Linked DNA regions of Caenorhabditis elegans. The protein of the gene in region 3 purifies or fractionates together with the protein of the main gene of each other region. This does not show direct contact. Each region holds a gene or a part of one and is shown on either strand. Other genes may lie near its edges. The genes, in order: nhr-8, spt-16, let-526 and B0205.9.

Region 1 (5,542 bases), on a different chromosome or scaffold from region 3:
ACAACTACACCAGAAGAAGAAGAGGAAGAAGTTGTGACAGCTGCCGTGGAACAGGAAGAGGAAGATGATGTTATTGAAGCAGAAGAGTTAGTTGAAGATGAAGAAGAAGATGTAACAACCACCACCACCACTGAAGCTCCAGTTACACGTGCTCAACGTGTCAAGAAAAACAAAAAGAGAGCTGTTGTGACAAAGCATCAATGCTTGAACCTTCGTAGCTTCGCACGTCAATTCTTGTTTGATACCGTTGAAGAGTTCGCAAAAGAGCACTGTTACTTTATTGAGAACTATTATCCAGCACTAACATGTGCTCGTTCTCATGCTTATGTTGCCAAGTGCCAAAAGTGGTTGAAAGAGGAGTAATTAATTAATACCTTTATATTAATTTTTATTTTGATTTCGATCCAGATCTACGTGTATTTGTTTGTAATATTTTCTCCATCTTTCTGCCCTTGACTTTTGTGCAATTTTCTCAAAAACTTTCTCATGTTAATAAGTGTGCAATATGTGCAATAATTCATGGTTAATAAATGGTTATTCAAAAGAACATAATTCTCGTATCAGAGGATCCAATTGAGCAATATCTAGTCCATAAAACACACGAAGTAAGGTCCTATTCACACGATGAAGCTCGACGACTTGATTCAGAAGATTACTGTATGCAATGTCAGCACGTGATTTACCATATTCAAATGTAAGAAGTCTGAAAGTAGGACAATATTAAAAATGTTATAATCAAAAAGTTATACAATACGTGCTTTTCTCGTACAGTACTTACTTCAAGAGCATCTGGAAATATTTTGCTTGTGTTGAGTGCACTCGTTTACTATCACGTAAGTTGGAGACATCTGAATTAATAACTTTAAAACGAATCAATTTTGAAAAACTGGCTCACGAGGATGAAATATAACAGCTGCATTGAAAATGAGCATCAAATGTTCATTATTCCTCACATCTTCTCCAAACGTTGAAAGCAAGTTCATGTGTGCTTTGTAATGTTCTTCAAGTTTTGGATTCTTAAGAACTTCCACCTTTACCTCCATTTTTCCTCGTACTCCAAATGAATGATTCCAGCTGTTATCACTCTTGTCATAGGCCATAAGACCCCGCACAATCAACAACTCCCCAAATCCACTTTTCAAGAGATTTTTCCTATCGTCCACGTGAAGCTCTCGGAATAGACTTAATTGGCATGCCATGTTAACAATCCTTCGTAGAGCTTCTTCTATTATTCTAAAAACTCCATCAATGCTTTTCGGATTGTGCCATTGAATTAGTGGAGCATTTAATGGCTCATTTTGTACATGAAGTTCTTCTAAAAGAGTTATCTCGTCTTCATTCAAAACTCCAATGTATTTGTCAATCTCTGAAAAGTTGCAAAATTCAAACTTATGGATGACATGAAACAGTACTTGAATGAATTTGTTCTAGCAAATTTGGAGGTAGAGTTTCAGTTACTGGAACTGTGGACACTGCTTGAATTGGAGTCCATGTTCTTTCAGGCATTGGAGGAAAATTCAAAAAGTTGGCTGGCGCAGCCATTTGGGCCATAACACCAAATTGAAATGGTGATAACATTGGAGGATATTGCGATGGCATTTGTGGAGACAGTTCTAAATTTTAGACGTATATTCTTTACTTCAGTACGTATTAATAAAAGTGTTTTCTTGTCGGCTCGGAAGGCGGACGTAACTCTTCTGCCTACTTTGAATTCGTAGTGATAGCCTTCTAGATGAGTTATGTCTGGCTTGTTGTCAAACATTTTTGACAGTGAGGTTCTAGCGTTCAGCTTCACGAGCTGCTCCTAAAAACATACCAGTTATTGAGCTCGGTATAGACGCCGGAGAAACTGTGTAGTTGGTTGGAGATTGAGTAACAAGTTGAGAAGTATTGTAACCACTGGAATCATGTGAAGATGGAGCACAACTGATAACCGACATTGGAGAAAGAGTTGAAGTAGATGAAGAATAAAACGAATCCGAATGATGAAGATGATGGGAGAATGATATATCTTGTGGACTGTTCTGAATATAAAATAATTGATTTTCTTGTATTTTAAACTCTACTAACCACAGCTGTTGTATCCTTTGGTTCGTATGCGGTGAGTCTTTGAGTAATTGGATAGAATCCACACTGGCATTTGCATGTACATCTGTCTTTTGATTTTCTGAAAGTTCAATGTACGATTGTCTGTTACTAGAGTGACGTAGTTTTGTGGTCTTGTGTGATCTACTGATTAGATAATTGTACTTTCTCATACGGTACATATCACAGGTTATCGAGAGACCACTTTAATTAAATAGATTCAATTGAATAAATGTGAGAACGTGCTAAGGCTGCCATGGTAGGCACTTCTTCATGCCTACATACGTGCGCGGCTACTGTTTTTGCATTCTGGGGTAAAGGCGTTTTTTTGTTATTTTCCCGTTATATTATAGTAAATTTGTTGAAACAGTAGTTTATTATTTCCGGATAATTTCATTGAAACTTACTCATTAGCTTTATTGATAAGCTTTTCAAGTAATGCTTTGGGGACACTAATTTGTTCTTCATCATCATTTTCCAAATCTTCTTCAGTATCATCTACTTCCACTTTCAAGTTATTCTTCATATCAGGCTTCTTTCTTTTGAATTTTCCAGAAACAATTGAACTCTTCGGTTTCAAATCATTTAACCATTCACTGTTCATTCCAACAGCAAAACATTTATTCAATCGACAAGCTTGGCAAAACTTGCGAGATGCTGATGTGATTTGACAAGAATCAGAGAAAGGACATTTAATTTCCTTAACACAAAATTTTTAACAACTTGAGTATGCTTTTTTTTTTAAAACCTTATGCTTTGAAGCATTTCGCCTGAAAAACGCCTTACAAGATTCGCAAGTGAGTACACCAAAATTGTATCCATTTGCACGGTCGGAGCAAACCTAAAATTAATTACAATTGTTGGTTTAGAAGTATAAATGAAAAAACGTTTTTCTATTATATTTTTACAAAAATACCACCAGATTTGTAGTAATCCACTATGGAACTCATCTTACGTTTTGGAAAAGACGATATGTATCCAAACGGAATTTTCTTTTTGATTTTTAGGTCAAAAATACGGTACCAGGTCTCGGCACGACAATCTTTGTTCAGTACAAAAAGCTGTGTGCATTTGAAGATTACTGTAATTTCAAGCTGTGGAATTTTCATTGATAATTCATAGCTATTAATACTTTTTTAAAAACATTTATGTGTTTTATTTTAGTTTTTCACGTTAAATATGCATGTTCTTCTAAAGTTTGAAATTACAGTACTCCTTAAAGACTTGTCTTGGCGAGACCGGATACCGTATTTTTTAAGCAAAAATCGAAAAATCTCACGCCGTTTCCAAAATAAAATTACAACTTTCTGATGGTTTTTTCAACTTTTAAACCAGCGTCAAGAGGCTCTTCAATAAAGTGATTATATTCTAAATAATATCAAAACTAACTGTGCAAATTCTGCCAGCAGGCTCTTTTGGTGGAACAGCAGACCTTCGAGACTCGTCCATCGATGGAGAAGACGAAGGCATGGAATGACGAAATTTTTGTTTTAGTGATTAAAATGTTGTTAGGTTTTGCAGATAAGTCACACCACAAGTGGAATAAGATACGAATAATAATCAGTGATTATATGAGCGACGCATAGTTAACTGTGATTCACGTATAGTTAAAAAGGACGATTGAAAGGGCGCAATAGTTTGTATGAAAGACTATGGGGTTTGCTTATCAGTGTGCGAAGTGAGCACAAATATTTATTGATTTTTGTCAAACCAATGCGCTGATTGATAATTTTATGAAGTCTTATCGTTGACTCTCGTATATTTTTCAGGGACCAAAATCCAGAATCCAAATGCCAAAATTCAGATTTATTTTGTTTTTTGGAACACAACAGAAACAATTAAAGAAGTAAAATAAAACTACGGTATTTCGGTTCTATAACAAAGATGAAAGTTTTAGATATAGTTGTATGCTACATCTTCTTCGGATTCCACAAATGCCATTTCTAGCTTCACTGGTTGTTTCAGAAGAATGGAAAGAAATTCTTCTGCAAACCCGAACATCCAGTAGATTCTTCGAATATCGAGTCGACGCGAATATTGAAGGAATCCGGCAACGATCAGTACGTTTCCTCGTCGTTTGATTACAATCTGGAAAAATGTGAAGTTTTGCAAACTTGGATAAGAGAAATAGATACTATACTGAATTTTAAAATTTTTTTGATAAGTTATTACCTCATTTCCACTAACGACTAAATTTTGTGGGAAAAATCCTCGAATGAACCGACGAACAACTTCATCTTGTGCAACAACCAGTGGTTGAGATTGACGGAATTCTAAAAACAAATTTTAAAAATTGTTAAATCGTAATTCAGTTTTGGAACAAACCTTCGAGATTCTGTGAATGCCATGTGAGCCACGATTTTCGCACGCCAATATGATGTGGTTTTTGAGCCATTTCGTATGTAAGAAGTTGTGTTCTATTTGATGTAGACGGAAATTGCAAAATATAAATGGGAAAATAATTGAAAGATCAACAAACCTTGGTTTTACCCGCTCTGTTCTTGAGAAGCATCGATGTTGTCGAAATTTGACGACTGCTGAGGGCTTCGACATGTTGTATACTTCGAAGCATGTCTGAAATTTATAAAAATAATATTTTAAGCAGAAAAATATATTTATAAAAGCGATTCAGTATAAAAGCGAGGCAAATGCAATATTTTTAAAGAAAAAAAATTAGCTAAAAAAAGAATATTGCAAGTGCGCTCCCCAGGACTGATACACTGTCACGTCAGAATGCACAGATTTCTCAGAGACAAATTTATTAATTTATTCTATTTAATTCTTAAATTCCCTTTGCAATCCAGTTTTATTCAATTTTAAATAATTTTATGTTGTTCTAGAACATGTTCTTTTTTGATTATTAGTGTTATTTGTAATTTCAGATTTTCAAATGTCCGATAAATCGTCAAAAGCAGAAAAGAAGAACGATGAGTGTTACAAGTGAGTCGAAGTAAAAATCATGAATTCAATAATCATGTATATATTTCTTCAGCACGGCAGCGATAACCAACAACGTCGAAGCTCTCGAGTTTGGAAGAACGTGTCAGTCGTGCGCCGCCGGTATGGCAGCAGGTAATTTTCAAAAAAAATCATTTAAAAAATCCTTCTTTTACAGGAATTCTCGGACTTACCGGTTTTCAAGGCTTCATTCTCTATTTCATTTCTGTTGGAATCCAGGCCGTTATATGGAACGTGAAATCACAAGGAAACTGGTTGAGCTACTTTCCGGAAAGAAACTCATTCACTTGGTCGCACGGAAATGGTCTTCTCACTTTCGTTCTGCTCTGGGTATTCTTCTACGGAATGGTTCATGTATACTGAGATCCATTTTATTCGCGAAAGTCTACATTCCCTTTTATTTATTTCTAAAATAGATGTATCTATTCTTTTCAACATTTTATACAATTTAATAAATCAATCCAGCTTTAATCTACCTATTTATAGTTCGTCACTGTTT
Region 2 (6,160 bases), 5.5 Mb from region 3:
GATGCTGAATCGGAACCCGAAACTGAATCATCCTTCAGTTTTAACCGTTTTGCCACTGGGCCAGGTGGTTTCGGCATCTGTAAATCGGAAATTAGCGAGTTTATTCAATTAAAAAATTATTTTCAGCAAAATTCCCACTCACCGAACCCACAAATCCACCGCAATCAGAGGGCTAAGTGCAAGACACGTGGCATGTCAAGAGCATTCCAATGCTCCACCCTCTGCATACGATCTTCATGTTTCAAGCAACTGCTTATTACACAGACGTCTAAAATTAAAACTTTTCGCCAAATGGGTCTCGCCACGAGGACTACGGTAACTCGTGTCTATGACGCTTTTGCATAATATTCTAAAGCGGCTCGAAGATCAACACGAGCTACAGTAACCTGTCGTCTGCGCGGCGAGACCCATTTGGCAAAACTTTTCCTTTTTAGAAATCTGTATAATTTTGTTGTTGTAATATTAATCAGAAAAAGTAGAAACGGAAACATTTTCAGAAAACCGACAAAATTATGTAAAAACGTGCCTCCATGAAACTTCATTTGACATTAATTGATTTTGAAATCAAAAATATTTTAGCATCGACTCAAATTTTGAGTGGGAAAGAAAAATAAGGGGATTGACAGATTTTAGTTGTAAAATTGTTGTAAAATGGGGGGTGTAACGGGACGGATTGATTGATTGAGATGCGAAGAAAATTCTTGGGGATTTAAATAGTTGAAAAACAAAACAAAAGAATAAAACGGAGGAAATTATACAAACAGGATTTACTTTCTGCGTTTGTGCGATGGTCCAGACTTGCTCGAATGTGGTCTCTTACGATCACGATCACGTGAAGGTTCTTCGACTTCACGTCTCTTATCAGCATTCGCTGCTTCTTCCTCCAAATCTGACCAATCTTTTCCTTCTGATTCATCGGAATCCAACGATCCTTCATCATCATCATCGGATTCAGTCTCTTCACCTTCACTTTCATCTTCATCACTTTCACTTCCTGATCCAGCAGATGCATCTTCTTCTTCAGGATCATAAGCATCCGAATCATCAGAATCATCCATTGCCTCTTCATTATCAGATTCAACATTAAGGAAACTCCATCCACCTTCTTCAAAGAATGCTTCAAGATCATCAGTGATTGTCTTCATAACTTTTGCCCAATTCAGTGATTGAATTCCTTCACTGTACCAAATATCACAAGTATGAAGCCATTCTTTTATCTTATCGATGCTGCTCATCGGGATTTGGGCGACCATCTGAGGTTTGATCTTGTAATCTTTGAAGATGAAGACCATATCGAAATTCTTGAGTTGAAGAGAGACACGTTCAAAGTGGACAAGTTCAACTTCGGAGAGTGTGACGATGAATGTAGGCTGAAAATAAATAAAATATAAAAGAATTCAGGAATAAAATTCAAAAAACATACCCATTCGGTGAGATTAACAAGGCACGATGCAGTTGGTTTGAGTGTGGTAGCCGAACGATACGGAACTCCAAAGAATCCGAGTCCAGCGAACGGAGAATCGAATTCAAATTGATCATTTGTGAGACGAGACACCTTCTCGCAGAAACTATTAAATGCAGCATTGAGACGACGACGCATTTCACGTTCTTGCTGTTCACTCTGCATATCATCACGATCTTGCATATGATGATACTTTCCAAGATCCGTAGTGATTTCTCCGACTTCTGTGTAGAATTGAACATCCTTATACTTCTTCTTTCCCCACAATACTGGATTCTTGAGATGGAAGTGCAGAAGGATGATCATTTCATTGTCGCACGGTTGGAAGAATGCATGTTTGATGTTGTTGTAGAGAACATCAATACGATCACCACGAAGAGATGTGTATCTGGAAAATCATTGAAATAAAAATAGGAAATTTTGAGCTTTTAGATTTTTTTTGTTTAAATAGACTAAAACTGATCCGAAACGGCATAATTTCGAAACGAAAGTTTTCAAATTTGGCAATTTTTGAGTTCAGAAACATTCGTTTTCCTTCAAAACTGTACCTAAATCCATTAGTGTGGGCCTCCAACGATCCAGTGATACGCTTTTGAATAATATTCGGACGAATCAGAAGATCCTTGAGCTTCGGATTCAATTTGTTCTGGCTCAAAATCAATTTGTCCTGCTTCACAGCTCCTTCCTTCTCCCGCTCTTCAGCCTCTTCAGTCTTGAATCTCTTCTGCATTTCCTTGATGAGTCGGAATGCGGTGCTCAAATTATGGCTCGGCGCAGTCGAATCACTGTGATGATCCTTGATGTTACTCGCACGGAACGTGAGCTCCTTCATATAGTGTGCAAGTGGATGTGGGAATTGCCCACTATCCTTTCCAACTTGAGATCCTGGAGTGGCAAAGTTGATTCGAAGATATGTGAAATCTCCTTCAACTGATTGCGAACAATTCTTTATCATGGAGATATGGAATGGGACAGGAATTCCAAATATTGGAACAACCACAGAATCATACTTGCGATCCACGAAAATCAACATCTTCTGAACGTCTGCATCTTGTGGGAATCTCTCTTCGGTTTTATATGACACATTCGATTTCTTCGACTTTTTCTCATCGGTCCCACCGCCTTGCTTTGAAAGACGAGCTTTTGCGAGCTCATTCAACTGAACTCCGAGCTCTTTCTGACGTTCCTTACGTAACTCTTCGTTTGTCGTCTTATTTCTCGTCTGATCAGTTAGAACGACACTTCTCTGACCTCTTCCGAGCATTTTCTTCTGATCATTGTCCTTTTCAGCTTCACGGTTTTCCTGCTCCTCTTTGAATTTGATGACGTTGGACTTCAGGCGTGATTTGGCTTTTTCGGTGAGAATCTCGTTATCGCCTTCTTCTTTAACCAAAATTGTATCCGAGATTGCAATTGCGGCGGGTTTTCCTTTTTCTCCTTTATTTTTGTTTGGAATACTATCGACACCAATATAAACGATGAAGACCATTCCTGCTTTGACAACCTCGTCACACTTCGCACTGATAGCAAGACGACTCTCACGGAATTCGATTCCAGTCGCAAATCCAAGCTCTTTCTTGTTCAGAGTTTCAGCAAGTTTTGGACTTTTCTCCGTCAATGTATCGATTCCAATTTTATAAACATCGCTCAGCTTGGCTCCTGGCTTCAGAGCAGCAATTACTGCCAGCTCGGCGGCAAGAATCGCTTCATAGGCAGTCTCAAGTTCAGAAGATGGGAAGATGAGCATAGTTCGCGTCAAATTTGTGCAATATTCTGATAAACGAGCTCCGAACGAAGTGATGATCGTTCCAAACTGGCTGTGAAGATGAGATTCCGAGCTTTCATGATTCCATTTGAACGAGTAATTTCCACCGGACATTACGATTGGATCATAGCATGTGTCGGCTTCATACTTGGCCAGTGCCTGTTGTACTTTTGAATCCTTCATGAAGGCGGCAAACTCATTGGAGAGAACAGAGTGACGGACTCGCTGCAAAAATAAAAAAGAATTATTTTCTCGGGATTAAAACAGTGGTTTTCCCAGGAGTACTAAAAAATGAGCCAGTTATTGGTGATAGATAAAAGGAAAAACAGTTTAGTCATCTAAAAATAGCTTTACATTTAATTGAAACAACTGGAAGAACGCTCAAAAACTGCATGAAAGTTTAATTTTCGGGTGATTTCCAACTTTCAGATTGATTTTGAGCAGTTCTTCCGCTTTTTCAATTGAATTAAAAGCTATTTTCAGATACATCAACTGCTTCATTATATTCTATCACCAAAAACTGGCTAATTATGTAGAAATGCTTGCAGCGGACTCCTGGTTCAACTATTTTCAGAACGATAAGCACCTTTTCTTGATCAATGATCTCTACGTAGCGAGCTCTTGCAGCTGTCCATGATGCGGTTGTAGCTTGTGCTGATTTTCGAATCAAATCCATCTCCTTATCGTCTTTCACTGCGAACAGATGAGTAAACGCGAGAGTGACGTCATTCTTATTGACACCGCCTTCCTCGAGCGCCTTATTCCACGAACTGACGAATTCCGAGCTGAATTTCTCTTTGACGAAATTTCCAACATCTCCGCCGGCACTTTTGATGTGATCGATGAGCTTTTCAAAGTTTCCAGCGTCTTTGTCGGTTTTATCGCGGAGCAGTGTGCTGACTGTTGGCACTTTTCCTGAGCTCTGATTGTCTCCAGTGACTGATCCGAAGAATTCGACTTTGCGATTACTTCCGAGAATGTAAATGTGATCTTTGAGAAGCAACAGGACTGTGTCAGCGATTTCGTGGCCAAACAGCCAGGTCTGAAATAAAAATTTGTCTTGAGTTTGAACAAATTCTGAAAAATCCTTACAAATAGTGCGCTGGTCTTTGTATATGGATTATCAGTCTCTCCGTATACAAAAGCAAGTGATTTGATCGAATCTAGACCATCGGCTCCCTTCTCCTGTAAAATATTTGATTAAAAATTCGTAAAGTCCTGAAAGTCACAAACCCAGTGCTCATAAAGCCTCTCCGCTCTCTGGAAAAAGAGATCCTTGTTGAGAACTGCCCGTTTTCCAGACATTTCTCCCCTGAAAGTTAGAAATTGTGTTAAAGTCACGAGGATTGAGAGATGGAAGCAAAAATCGATAACGTAAACAAAGTGACCAGCAACGGATTCGGATAGGCTAAAAGTTTGAAATTTGCGAAAAAATTAATTTTTTTTGACACAATTTTAAAATTTTGAAAAAAACGTTTTGACGAGACAAATATTTTTTCACTGAAGAACTGTAAACTCTGAAAAATTAGAGCTGAAAGTGAGGATTGCGCGCGAAAAAGAATGGAATGAAGTTGGGCGTGGTCAAGGAACGCAACAGCCGCACGCACTTTCGCAACCACTCCGCATGCAATATTCCCGCCATGTTATTTACGGAGGGGCCATGTGAGAGTACACAATTGTGATGAATTCTTGAAGAAACATCAATTCCAGCGAGAGTTCAGAAAGTGGAGTTTCTGTAGGGTAGAAGATGTGGAATAAGTGATGAGATTATGTTGAGCGGGATGTAGGATGTCAGAAGAATCGTTGAAAAGAACAGAGTTGTAGATACAACAAGTCTTCGGAAATGCCGCGTGAACGGTAGATCAATTATTTCTTGAATTGGATTAAAGTCGGGATCGTTGAGATTTCTCATAAACCATAGTACACCAGGACGAAGGATTTCTCGAAGAAGAATCACAAATGACGCTGAATAAAATACATAAATCATTCCAACCATCCAATGAAGGAATATTGACATGAATGGAGCTGTGGCAAATGTTGCAATTCTTTGTGATAATGTTATATTGAATAATGGAAGTGTACAAACATCCATCCAACATCCACACATTACAGGGAAAAATCCAATTTCCAAGAATACCAGCAAGAAGACTATAATGATAAGGAGAGATGGCATTTGGGAACTAGTTTCAGATTCGGAATGCTAAAATATATTGAAGTTAAAGTCGACTTTTAGCAATTATTACGCCGGCAATTGCGAAAAATCCTGAAAGAAAAGTTTAATATTTTTCCTTTTCAGATAATCAAAGTTACAAATCCGGTTGTAATCCTACGATAGTGCCTACAATATTTCAGGCCTTGAAACGCAGACAACAGTAAAATTATAAGAACTTTAGAAAATTTTGAGGAGTTTAGCTCTACATCTGTCAATTTGGTATAAATTATCTGTTTTCTGAAAAATAAAGTATTTAACTATTTTAACAGCGGTCCACAAGAGAAACGGACGAAATATTTGAAGAAATTTTAAAAATTTAAAAAAAAACCGCGATAGGGTTGGTTAAAGGGACATCGGCTTACTCGGATGGGTCTCGACACGATTGTGGTTTTGCGTTGTTGTCGACGAACATTTTTGAATTCTAATTTTTTCCCTATTTTTTTGCCATAAAAGCTGTAGAATTGCTATATTTTTAAAATGTTTTCCATCGAAAAATTGTGAGATTGAGTTTGAAAATTACCGAGTTCCATTTTATTTTCATTGGATCTGTTTTTGATAGTTTTTACTTTTTTACAAATATTTTACAGGAGAAGGGAGCCGATGGTCTAGATTCGATCAAATCACTTGCTTTTGTATACGGAGAGACTGATAATCCATATACAAAGACCAGCGAACTATTTGTAAGGATTTTTCAGACTTTGTTCAAACTCAAGACAAATTT
Region 3 (4,657 bases):
ACATTTTATCCGCTATTCAGTTCAGCAAACACATTTCGTTTCTCCTGTCAACATCCCATATCTCATTAGCAAGCTCCCTTATCACATTCCAATTAGAATATTATGCTAGAATGCTTCTCCACTAACCTAAAAAAATCGGTCGACTCGAATAATAGAGTATGTGTAGCAGTCATGAGATCGCAGATTATGAACATGCATGCACAGGACCGGATTAGTCTATATATTCTCCGCGTGGTGGGCTATTTTCCCTCAAAGATTTTCATCAGAAATATGCATTTAGACGGATTCGTCAAAGTGCACGAGCGCATAGAGGTGATTATAGTATTATGGAGAAAAGGGGCTCAGGATGGAGACGGAATAAGAATAACGTAGATTTCACCAAACCCGTGTGATATTCAAATGTATTAGGGATCAGAAAGTAGAATCTCGTGGAGTTTATATATCAGTGAGTAATGATAGGGTACACATTTATATCATACTATACTCAACTTTTCAAATCCCTAGGGAATTATATATATCTAGTGATAGTCTATAAATAATGACTCATCTTCTCTAATGTCACTTTATTCATTCTAAAGTCGCCAATTTCCAAATTTTAAAGCTATTTTCTGCATGCCTCTAACTCTAACCAATAAACAATCTCTCCTGCCATCCAAGTACAGCCGACCGGAGAGACTCGTCATCATCATCGGTCATTACAAAAACAAACAAATAAATGTGAGACGAGTCCGAGAGAGTGTGAGACGTAGCATATTAATCACTATTCAGTTTCCACGTGCCGTCTATTTCTCCAATCGGCATTTCCGTCTCTTATTTCATTCCATCGGAACGAGTGAGAGTGATGGGCTTGTTTATTTCATATGCCTCCTTCTTCAACTTTTCATCATCATGTGTATCTTGTAATCTTCGGTCACTCGTCACTTTCCCAGGCCTCCCCTTTTCATTTTTCTCCTCCAATCGTCGGAGAGAGGGGGAACGAGACTGGACACCGAATCGAAAGGGACTCCTCTCCGAGACAGAAACCAAAATGACGTCACGAATGTTTCGTTTCCGATGTGATCGTCGGTCTTTCACTATTTTCCGCTTCTGAGAGTGAGAGTGAAGAGAATTAGTTGGCAAAGTGAAATATGCTTATTGACAGATGTGCAACCTACTTCTACGTTCTATGCACTGAAAATAGTGCAACGACTAATACGGATATGAGTACAACGTCATCAGCGACGGCGTCCCGTGCTTCTCAAAACACAATCAAGACGTGTAGTGTCTCTTTGTATGTGTGCGTATGTGCTTGACGATGGGAAGCAAGCACATAAAAAAGGAAAAAAAAACGAAAAAAGGAGAAGGCAAAGGAGAGGTCTCCTTTTTCAGTCTTTCCCGATTTTTCGTGCAATGCCTGTGTTTCTTTTCACTTCTCCACATTTTATTCGTAGGTTTGTAAGTTGAGCTGTCAAATTGGATGGCTGATTTTCCAATCTCACTATCTGAATCTGAATCCATTTGTAGATCTGGAAACTATGTCTGGTGGCAATAATCCTAGTGAAATTTTTCGTACTAAATATTATCTATTATCAGATTTTTCAAACTTTTTTGAAATCATTTTTCCCTATTCATCACTAACAAAGAAAACTTCAAACGAAATTCTTAGAATTTTTGGATGATTATGTAACCTATACATTGGTGGCATCTTCTAGATAATATTCAAAAACATTATATTAATGTTATAAATTGGTATTTAGAATCTATGGAAAAATGTTCGAAAAGTTGCTATTCAACAATTATCATTATTATTGCTTATTGAACATGATATAATATGTTCAAACCATTGTAATTAAAAATGAACTACACTATGTGATGATGGCTTCTGTCTCTAAACTCTCTATTCTTTTACATGTTATTTTCGTCCCTTCCGTCTTTTTTCGCGCCCCGTTCGTTCATTTTTACCCCCTACCCTCCCTCCAGTGTGTGTGTGTCCGTCCGTCATGCGGCTTGCGTCGCCTTCGTCTTTTTGAAAACCGAACGATAGGAGACACGGTGGAAATAGTTCTACAAGTTGAGAGTCCGCAGTGAAATTGCGCTGTGTGTGTGTATAGAATGTAGAGAAGAGAAAGAGCGACGACTGCGACCCCGCGTCCCGCCGTCCATTCTCTCCGCAAACCGAATCGCATAGAGTGTGCGTATCGCAGAGATTCCATACAGATCAGACGGCGAGATAGTACTAGAAAAGTGGAGACACCCGCTTCGCGAAGGCCATAGCCTGCTTAGACAACTAACCATAGAGCGTGCAAATCGGAGAGACACAGCGCTTCTTTGACAACTAAACGAAAGGGGGAGACAGATGGCCTAGTCACAAGCGAATCGAGACGGAGAGAAAAAGTATTCAAACGCAGCCCCTCACCAACAGCCCCAACAGCGACCTTCTCTTTCTACCCCCCTTTTTGCTTCCCTCGATCATCATCATCCCCGCCTCCCAATTTCATTCGAGTGGTTAGACAAGCGAGGAAATAGTAGGCGAAGATGAAGAGACATAGAGGAATGAGTGATTTTCGGATTTTGTTGCAGAAAAGAACACGAAGGAAGTGATGATGTCCTGGTTTTACCCTTTTCTGTTGCTGCTGCGGTTGTTGTTGCTGTTGCTGCGACTCATCACCTCTCGACGGATTTTCTGCGGTGACTGCATTTGATGTAGTTGGCTGAAAATTAAACAAAAAATGAAAATATTCTCCAACAAATAATTTCAGATTAAAAAAAAAGTTACCTTATCTTCATTTGTCTCCGTTCCAACTGCATTGTCGTCACCTGGCATGTTCTCTCTGTTTCAGTGTTCTCCTTCCTGAAAAAAAAAAAAATAATGAAAATAAATCTAGCTTCCAAAAAACTTACAATTTCCGTCGACACAACCATTAACTGAATTTATACCGTAAATTTCCACGAAAAATTCCTTCGCCCTCGTTTTCCGTGCGCTGAACAAGTTCCAGAGACACAGCACGGCAGGGGATTGTTTTGTCTGAAAGAAAAAAAAATGGTTTTAGATATTTAAAGTCAAGTTACACAAGAAAATATTGCAGAAAATATTTGTTTCGTTTGGATAAATGATAATTTAAATAAAAAACTTTCGAGGATAAAAACAGTTTTTTTCTATCGTATTTTCACTAGAAGACGCACTGATTAATTCAGATAGGTCTCGAAGCGCGAACAAGTTTATGGTAGTTTTTTTTGAATTTTTTGGCTGCTTCACTGAAAAGTTTATGGTGACATTTTTAAAGTGTATTTTTCATAGGGAATAATTACCTTTTAGCGAATTAATTCGAAAGAAAAATGCAACGAAAACAACCACAAAAGTTTGAAATGGCTACCATAAACTTTTTCGCGCGCCGAGACCCATCTTAATAAATCCGTGCGTGCGCCTTAAAAAATGCATCTCAAAATTTATAGGAAAATTACTATAATTTTAAACACTTTCAAAGCAGTTTGTATTGGTAAAATGGAGAAAAAATAATTTTGTATTTTTTACGCCTCATATTTGAAAATAAAATGTTAAAATTTCAGATATTTCTATATTTGGATTATATTTAACTTCTAAAGGCCGTCTTTTTTTTGAAAATAAAATCAATAATTCTGAGAATTTAAGTGAAAATTCAAAATTGGCGGTTCTGGGATCAAAATTGATGGAGCACTGTACTTCCTGAAATAGAGAACTCTTATCACCTACTATTCTCTATCACCCAATTGATGATCATAACCATGAACCTCTTATTATCAAACATAGTCATAATACGGCGCAACAAAAATACAAAAGGGGAGGCTGAACAACAACAAAAAAACGAGAACGACCCTGGTGATGAGTGATCACAAGACAGTGAAGAGACGCAGAGGCGGAAGAAAGAAAAATGAATATGAACTTGAAACAGACACACAATGCTTATGGTGTGGGAAAATGAACGGAAAGGAAAAAAAAAGAAATGATGAAGAAAGAAAGAAAAACTTTTTGTTTATCACTCTGCGTTTCGTCTATGATTTTTTGGGTGGCACTTTTTGATTTGATTTTAGAAATTGAAAGAGCTTAATAGAGTTGCTAGGAAACTACCGTATGACTTCCATATTAATAATTATTTATTCATTTTTAGGTATACCGGATTTGAATAGTTTTTGAACATTCTATTTTTAAAAAAGTAAAGAAAATGTTCGATTGAAATATAAAATGTTATACAGCTTTTTTTCTAACTTAAAATTTTTTATTTTTTCGAAATGAATTTTAAACTTAATTTTAAGGTACAGCGAATTTAGTATTCGAACATTTATTTCAAAAATTTTTTTAACGTTAGATTTTTATATAAATTTTTGGTTTCTATACAAAATATAATTTTTGACTGAACTTAAAATTCCTCTATTCAATTTTTTTACATTCAACAAATTTGTTTTATTCGAATATTTCAGCGGGAAACTATAATTTTAATGATTTTTCGAAAAATAGGAAACAAGTTATTTGAAATGTGAAAAGTGTATGGTATATAATTGTTAGATGAGCGAATCAACTGAATAGTATCGCAAAAATTTCGAATTTCGCTCGTTTTTACAGAATTTGAGTGAGAAAATATATTATTTCTTCGAATTTCCTCGACTATTTAAATATTGAATAAAGCATTTTGTTTTTTGTTAT
Region 4 (4,761 bases), 5.4 Mb from region 3:
TTTTGGATGACGACGGTAAACGTCTAGTCAATGTATCTTCCAAAAAAAGTCAAATTCAAGGTTTACTAGAATTTTAGATCATACATTTTTGAAACCTAAAATTATGAGAAAACTATTTAATTTCTTACATAATACAATTCAGATCATCGTGTCAAAGAGTCCCATTTTGGATTGATCTACAAAAAATGTGGGATTTTCTTTGCCAAAAATTGTGACGTCAGCACGCTCAGCCTGGTTAAAGAACTTAAACAGTTAATATTTAAAAAATTCTATAACATTGAAAAACCACTGGTTTTGGAGAATTGTTAAATTTTGCTAATTTCTTCATTTGAATTTCCGCACTTTTGCCTTTTAACCCCGCCCACATTTCTGTGCCGCACTTAATGTTGATGCAGATTGTTATTTCCGCTCTTTTATTGATTTTATAATAAAGGAAAAAAGATTTTAAATTAATGAAACAATGTGATGTATTTCACTTGTGACAATTGATCTATCCATTCTATAAAAAAAATTAACTTCCGATTTATTATCAAAGATTTTTCAGTGATAGAAACTTAAATAAATCGTAAAACCGTTCAATTTGTGAGAAAAATACCAGTCATATAACAGTAGAATTAACAGTGGAGGGCTCTTAAAAAATTGGAAAAAAAACGAAACCGTAAAAGGTGAATAGAGTCATGGTGAAATCACGAGAAAAAAGGATAATTATGAAAAGTACAGGTGAATTAAACAACAGTGAAAAGAATATTGCGAATACCTTGCTGGACGTCAGCGATTAGGAGAACCTGAATATTTAAATATAATTTTGATTGGTTAATAACTCAATCTAATACCTTTCCATCCGCTTCGTGATTTTCAATTTCGTCCTGAACTCTCTTTTGTAGATCGTAAAGCAACGGGTTTTTAAGCCAAAGGAGAGCATATTTGAAGATTCTCAGACACTCTTTTGCTGATTTGCTCGGTGCTGAGGTTTCCGGCCGAAACTTTCGAGTGATTCCCAAAAAGAATGTCTGGAGGGTAGTAATCACTAGCTCCGATGGAAGAATCTGAAAAAAAAGATAATTTATTGGAAAATTTGATTCTTCAACTACCTCATCTGTTCGACGGCGAATCTCTTCAATCTCTTGCATTAAATCGTTTAGAGTATCTGATTCGAGAGATGTGAGCATGAGTTCTAACGAATTCAAAAACTTGTGAAGTCTAATCCCGTCAGATCCAGTGATTCCCGATGGCTCAACATGGTGACCTTCTTGAACTGGGGTTTCCTCAATCTCTGGTGGAATGGGTAGATTCACCAGGTTGTTTGACATGTTTTGAATATGGAATTGCTCAAATACAGGCTCCTGCTTCAAGAAGCCACGGAAGACGAAAGATTCTTGTGCATTTGTAGAAGTACCTTCCGATTCGTTTAAAAAAGTTCCAGATCTTTGAACCTCTGCCTGCCGACCACTCTTTGCATTGAAAGGATTGAATTTGGAATCTCGATTTTCAAGGAGTGGAGCCTCTAGAATCTCACGGTAGAGGTGCCCTTGATCCAGATTGTATGACGCTTCTCGATTGACCAATTCCTCGAAATCAAACGATGCAGATTCCTGTTCCACGTAGCCATCAACTATTTCCATAACTTCTACATCATCCGTGTCAGACAACTCATTCTCAGTGATTTCGCGTCTTTTTGTAGGTGTATTGCTGGATTTGGTCGACCTTCTTCTCTTCACTCCCGACGTCTTCTCTTCCAACTCTATCATTCCATCATTTGATGCATATCTGACAATTCGGCGCTGGTCATCCAGTTGAACGGTGCCAGATTTTTCAATTCTGAAAATTCATTTAAGTTTTTTTTAATTTCAAGTTCAACTGTTTCTTACTCGGCAAGAAAATCAGTTCTCACTGTCCCTTTTAATACAAACATCATCCGAATCCGATCTCCGAGTAGGTAGCTGCTCCATCGACTCATATTTGGTGCCAGATTTCGACGAAATCTAGAATATAGTTGAATTATCAATAGCGAAATTGCTCTACAAGTGGCTTCAACTTGTGGAAAATTGAAGAAAAAAAACTATTCAAAATTCGAAAAATGTGGGAAAACAATTTTCATTCAAGAGATATTAAAGGTGGAGCAGCCCCAGTGGGGAAATTGTTAGAAACCACTCCTTTGATCCCAAATGGACCAAATATCATGATAAAACTTTTCAAAAAAATTTTGAAAAATTTTTATTCATTGTCAAAAAGTGGCAATTACTCACTTTTTGCCACTCATAATTTTGGAAATCGACAAAAATAAAAATTATTTTTTATATATTCAAATGTAAATATATTCATTTCTTATGTTTTAATTTTGTTTAAATTATTTTTATTAAAACATTGTAGCGGTCAAAACATGCGACATTTCTCTAAATTTCCTCAAAAGCTCGTTTTTTTCAAAATTTTGGCAATTTGCCAAAAAGAAATTATGAAAAATCAACAATTTTTTGAAGTGTTTTATTATGATATTCGGTCGTTTTGGGTCATTATAAGTATATTTAGACAAAATCCCCACTGGCGCTTCTCCTCTTCTCTTCCCTTCTCTACTCTTTAAAACTCACTTTTTATTAAACGTATCAACTGAAACCTGGCGATCCTTGATACGGCAGAACTCCTTGGCAATTGAGGTCGATGTCATCGGTCTAACTGCATCTCTGGTCTGTTGGATAAGAAAGTCCATGAATTCGGACCGTGCACCTTCTATTTTGAATTTTCCGTCCTTCGAGGCATATTTTAGGATTCTTCTCTTCTCATCGAGTTGGACAGTTCCCAGCTTTTCAATTCTGCAAATTGTCTTTCTCTTTATCCTTTTTACATTTCCGACAGCACTCTTAAAACCTACGTCGTTAGGAAATCTTTGGAAACTTTTCCACCCATTGTGAGCATTACTCGAACTCTTTCCCTGATACTGTAGGTGTTCAATTCATTCATTATTGGTGCAAGCCTATGATGAAATCTAAATTTAAATTTTTAAAATACAAACAGTGAGATGTAGCTCTAACTTGTCATAGCACATTGAATATGTACTCCGATCAGGGTCTAGTCGGCTATATTCATCGAATATTTCTTTAAACGTCGTTGGCTCAGCAGCATTCTTTGTCTTTTTCACGAGGAAATCCATGTATTTCGTGAGATTGGCGTCGTATGACATGTTTGGTTAACCTGAAATGGAGCACAATAGGGTATTAGATATTTTAAATACTTTTGAAAAAAACGAATAAATCGTTAAATTACGGGATTTATTCACTTTTATAAAAAAAAGCATTAAGAAGACAAATATAATCGATGAAATCACGCGGTGTCAGGTTGTCCCATCTCTCCGCTGCGCACGAAATGGCGAAAAAATACTTTTTAATAATTTGTGACGTCACAGGGCAATTCGAATAATTGTTTTTTTGATTTTTCAGTGTCGATTTTCGTGAAATTTGTTAATAATTTTTCAAATAGCTTTCTCATGGTAATTTATAAAATTGATATTTTATCGAGATTCTAAAAATTTATTGAGTTAAGTGGAGAAAGAAGCAAATTGCATTCAAAAACATCACAAATTAAAAAGAAAAGTATTTTCCCGACATTTTTGTGCGCAGTGGATCGATGGGACAGCCTCACTCACGGCCTCCACCACGAGAAATGCGCAGAGAGAGCGCAGAGAAAAAGGCGGTCTCTGCGTCTCTCACCTCCACAGCATGGCGAGAGTGCGCGCTCAACCACCTCACTTAGAAGGAGTCGGGAAGAAAGGAAAATGCATATTTCTGAAAAGAAACAATTGGAACGGATAAAGAGTACTGTCCTCTACAGTCTGGCATAAATTTCACAGAATAGTTGTGTCATTGAAATAAGTGAAGAGAGTGAACATAATATTACACATTCCCCTCTAAAACGAGCAAGTTTAAGATTTTTTCCCAAATTTTTTTTGTAAAATGTATTCAATATATTCCCAATTAATGAGTTAATACAAAAAAACCCCAATAAATAAGTTATGAGAGAAACTTTTTTTGACATCAAACATTTACAGCTCAAAATTTCAGCACTTTCCGGAAGCTAGTGACCGTAAAATGAAAAATTTCAAAAATCGGAAAAAATACGATTGTTCTATTTTTTAATACGCACATTTTGACATATCACACATAAAAATTGGTCAATGTTGAAAGATGAAATTAAATCTAGAAGGTTGACTACAGTACTAAAATGACCAAATTTTCAGGTTTTTCGCAATTTTCAGGAAATACTTGGCTTGGACTCAAAAATCGGAAAAAATACGATTGTTCTAATTTTTAATACGCACATTTTGACATATCACGCATAAAAATTGGTCAATGTTGTAAGATGAAATTAAATCTAGAAGGTTGACTACAGTACTAAAATGACCAAATTTTTAGGTTTTTCGCAATTTTCAGAAAATATTTGGCTTGGACTGAAAAAGTTAAGAAAATACGATTGTTCCAATTTTTAATACGCACATTTTGACCTATTATACATAAAAATCCGTCCATGTTGAAAAGATGATTTTTGATGTAGAAGATTGGGTGCTTTGATACAGTACCCGCTCTACTGCGCCCTCACACTTTGGATGCTCCTATCTCCGCTTCTATGAAAGTTACAAAAAAGTTGTCAACCAACAAAATGTTCAGTGTGACATTGTGAACATTTTTTCTGTTGACAATATTTTTCTAACTAGTAAGACAAATTTTTTACAGGCCCCGAAAGCCGTATTTATGAGAAAATCAGAGATCAGTT

Evidence for each region.
Region 1: the proteins of let-526 (region 3) and nhr-8 fractionate together in Caenorhabditis elegans (co-fractionation; one large-scale study listed by BioGRID). This does not show direct contact.
Region 2: the proteins of let-526 (region 3) and spt-16 fractionate together in Caenorhabditis elegans (co-fractionation; one large-scale study listed by BioGRID). This does not show direct contact.
Region 4: the proteins of let-526 (region 3) and B0205.9 fractionate together in Caenorhabditis elegans (co-fractionation; one large-scale study listed by BioGRID). This does not show direct contact.

What each region holds. Positions count from the first base shown.
Region 1 is NC_003282.8:7,709,162-7,714,703, reverse strand, and holds nhr-8 (Nuclear hormone receptor family member nhr-8), read right to left. Parts: upstream 3,561-5,542; 5' UTR 3,556-3,560; coding exon 3,475-3,555; intron 2,927-3,474; coding exon 2,834-2,926; intron 2,786-2,833; coding exon 2,493-2,785; intron 2,168-2,492; coding exon 2,071-2,167; intron 2,025-2,070; coding exon 1,817-2,024; intron 1,614-1,816; coding exon 1,413-1,613; intron 1,367-1,412; coding exon 896-1,366; intron 849-895; coding exon 779-848; intron 704-778; coding exon 535-703; 3' UTR 506-534; downstream 1-505. Other genes in the region: F33D4.6 (aECM cysteine-cradle domain-containing protein), read left to right, coding at 1-363; mrps-24 (Small ribosomal subunit protein uS3m), read right to left, coding at 3,979-4,173, 4,258-4,358, 4,411-4,516, 4,565-4,657; emc-6 (ER membrane protein complex subunit 6), read left to right, coding at 4,976-5,025, 5,078-5,157, 5,201-5,406. UniProt on the Caenorhabditis elegans protein: Orphan nuclear receptor.
Region 2 is NC_003279.8:10,787,509-10,793,668, reverse strand, and holds spt-16 (FACT complex subunit spt-16), read right to left. Parts: upstream 4,540-6,160; 5' UTR 4,533-4,539; coding exon 4,461-4,532; intron 4,413-4,460; coding exon 4,320-4,412; intron 4,270-4,319; coding exon 3,814-4,269; intron 3,453-3,813; coding exon 2,011-3,452; intron 1,851-2,010; coding exon 1,424-1,850; intron 1,371-1,423; coding exon 768-1,370; 3' UTR 517-767; downstream 1-516. Other genes in the region: F55A3.2 (C2H2-type domain-containing protein), read right to left, coding at 1-77. UniProt on the Caenorhabditis elegans protein: Component of the FACT complex, a general chromatin factor that acts to reorganize nucleosomes. The FACT complex is involved in multiple processes that require DNA as a template such as mRNA elongation, DNA replication and DNA repair.
Region 3 is NC_003279.8:5,310,921-5,315,577, forward strand, and holds the start of let-526 (ARID domain-containing protein), read right to left. Parts: upstream 3,003-4,657; 5' UTR 2,881-3,002; intron 2,831-2,880; 5' UTR 2,804-2,830; coding exon 2,756-2,803; intron 2,691-2,755; coding exon 2,598-2,690; exon of another isoform or gene 2,597-2,597; intron 1,084-2,596; exon of another isoform or gene 949-1,083; intron 804-948; exon of another isoform or gene 690-803; coding exon of another isoform or gene 630-689; intron 1-629. Other genes in the region: F48C1.3 (uncharacterized protein), read left to right, coding at 3,413-3,476, 3,547-3,686.
Region 4 is NC_003279.8:10,719,240-10,724,000, reverse strand, and holds B0205.9 (SPK domain-containing protein), read right to left. Parts: upstream 3,188-4,761; 5' UTR 3,176-3,187; coding exon 3,027-3,175; intron 2,981-3,026; coding exon 2,867-2,980; intron 2,808-2,866; coding exon 2,586-2,807; intron 1,983-2,585; coding exon 1,869-1,982; intron 1,819-1,868; coding exon 1,092-1,818; intron 1,047-1,091; coding exon 834-1,046; intron 786-833; coding exon 726-785; 3' UTR 505-725; downstream 1-504.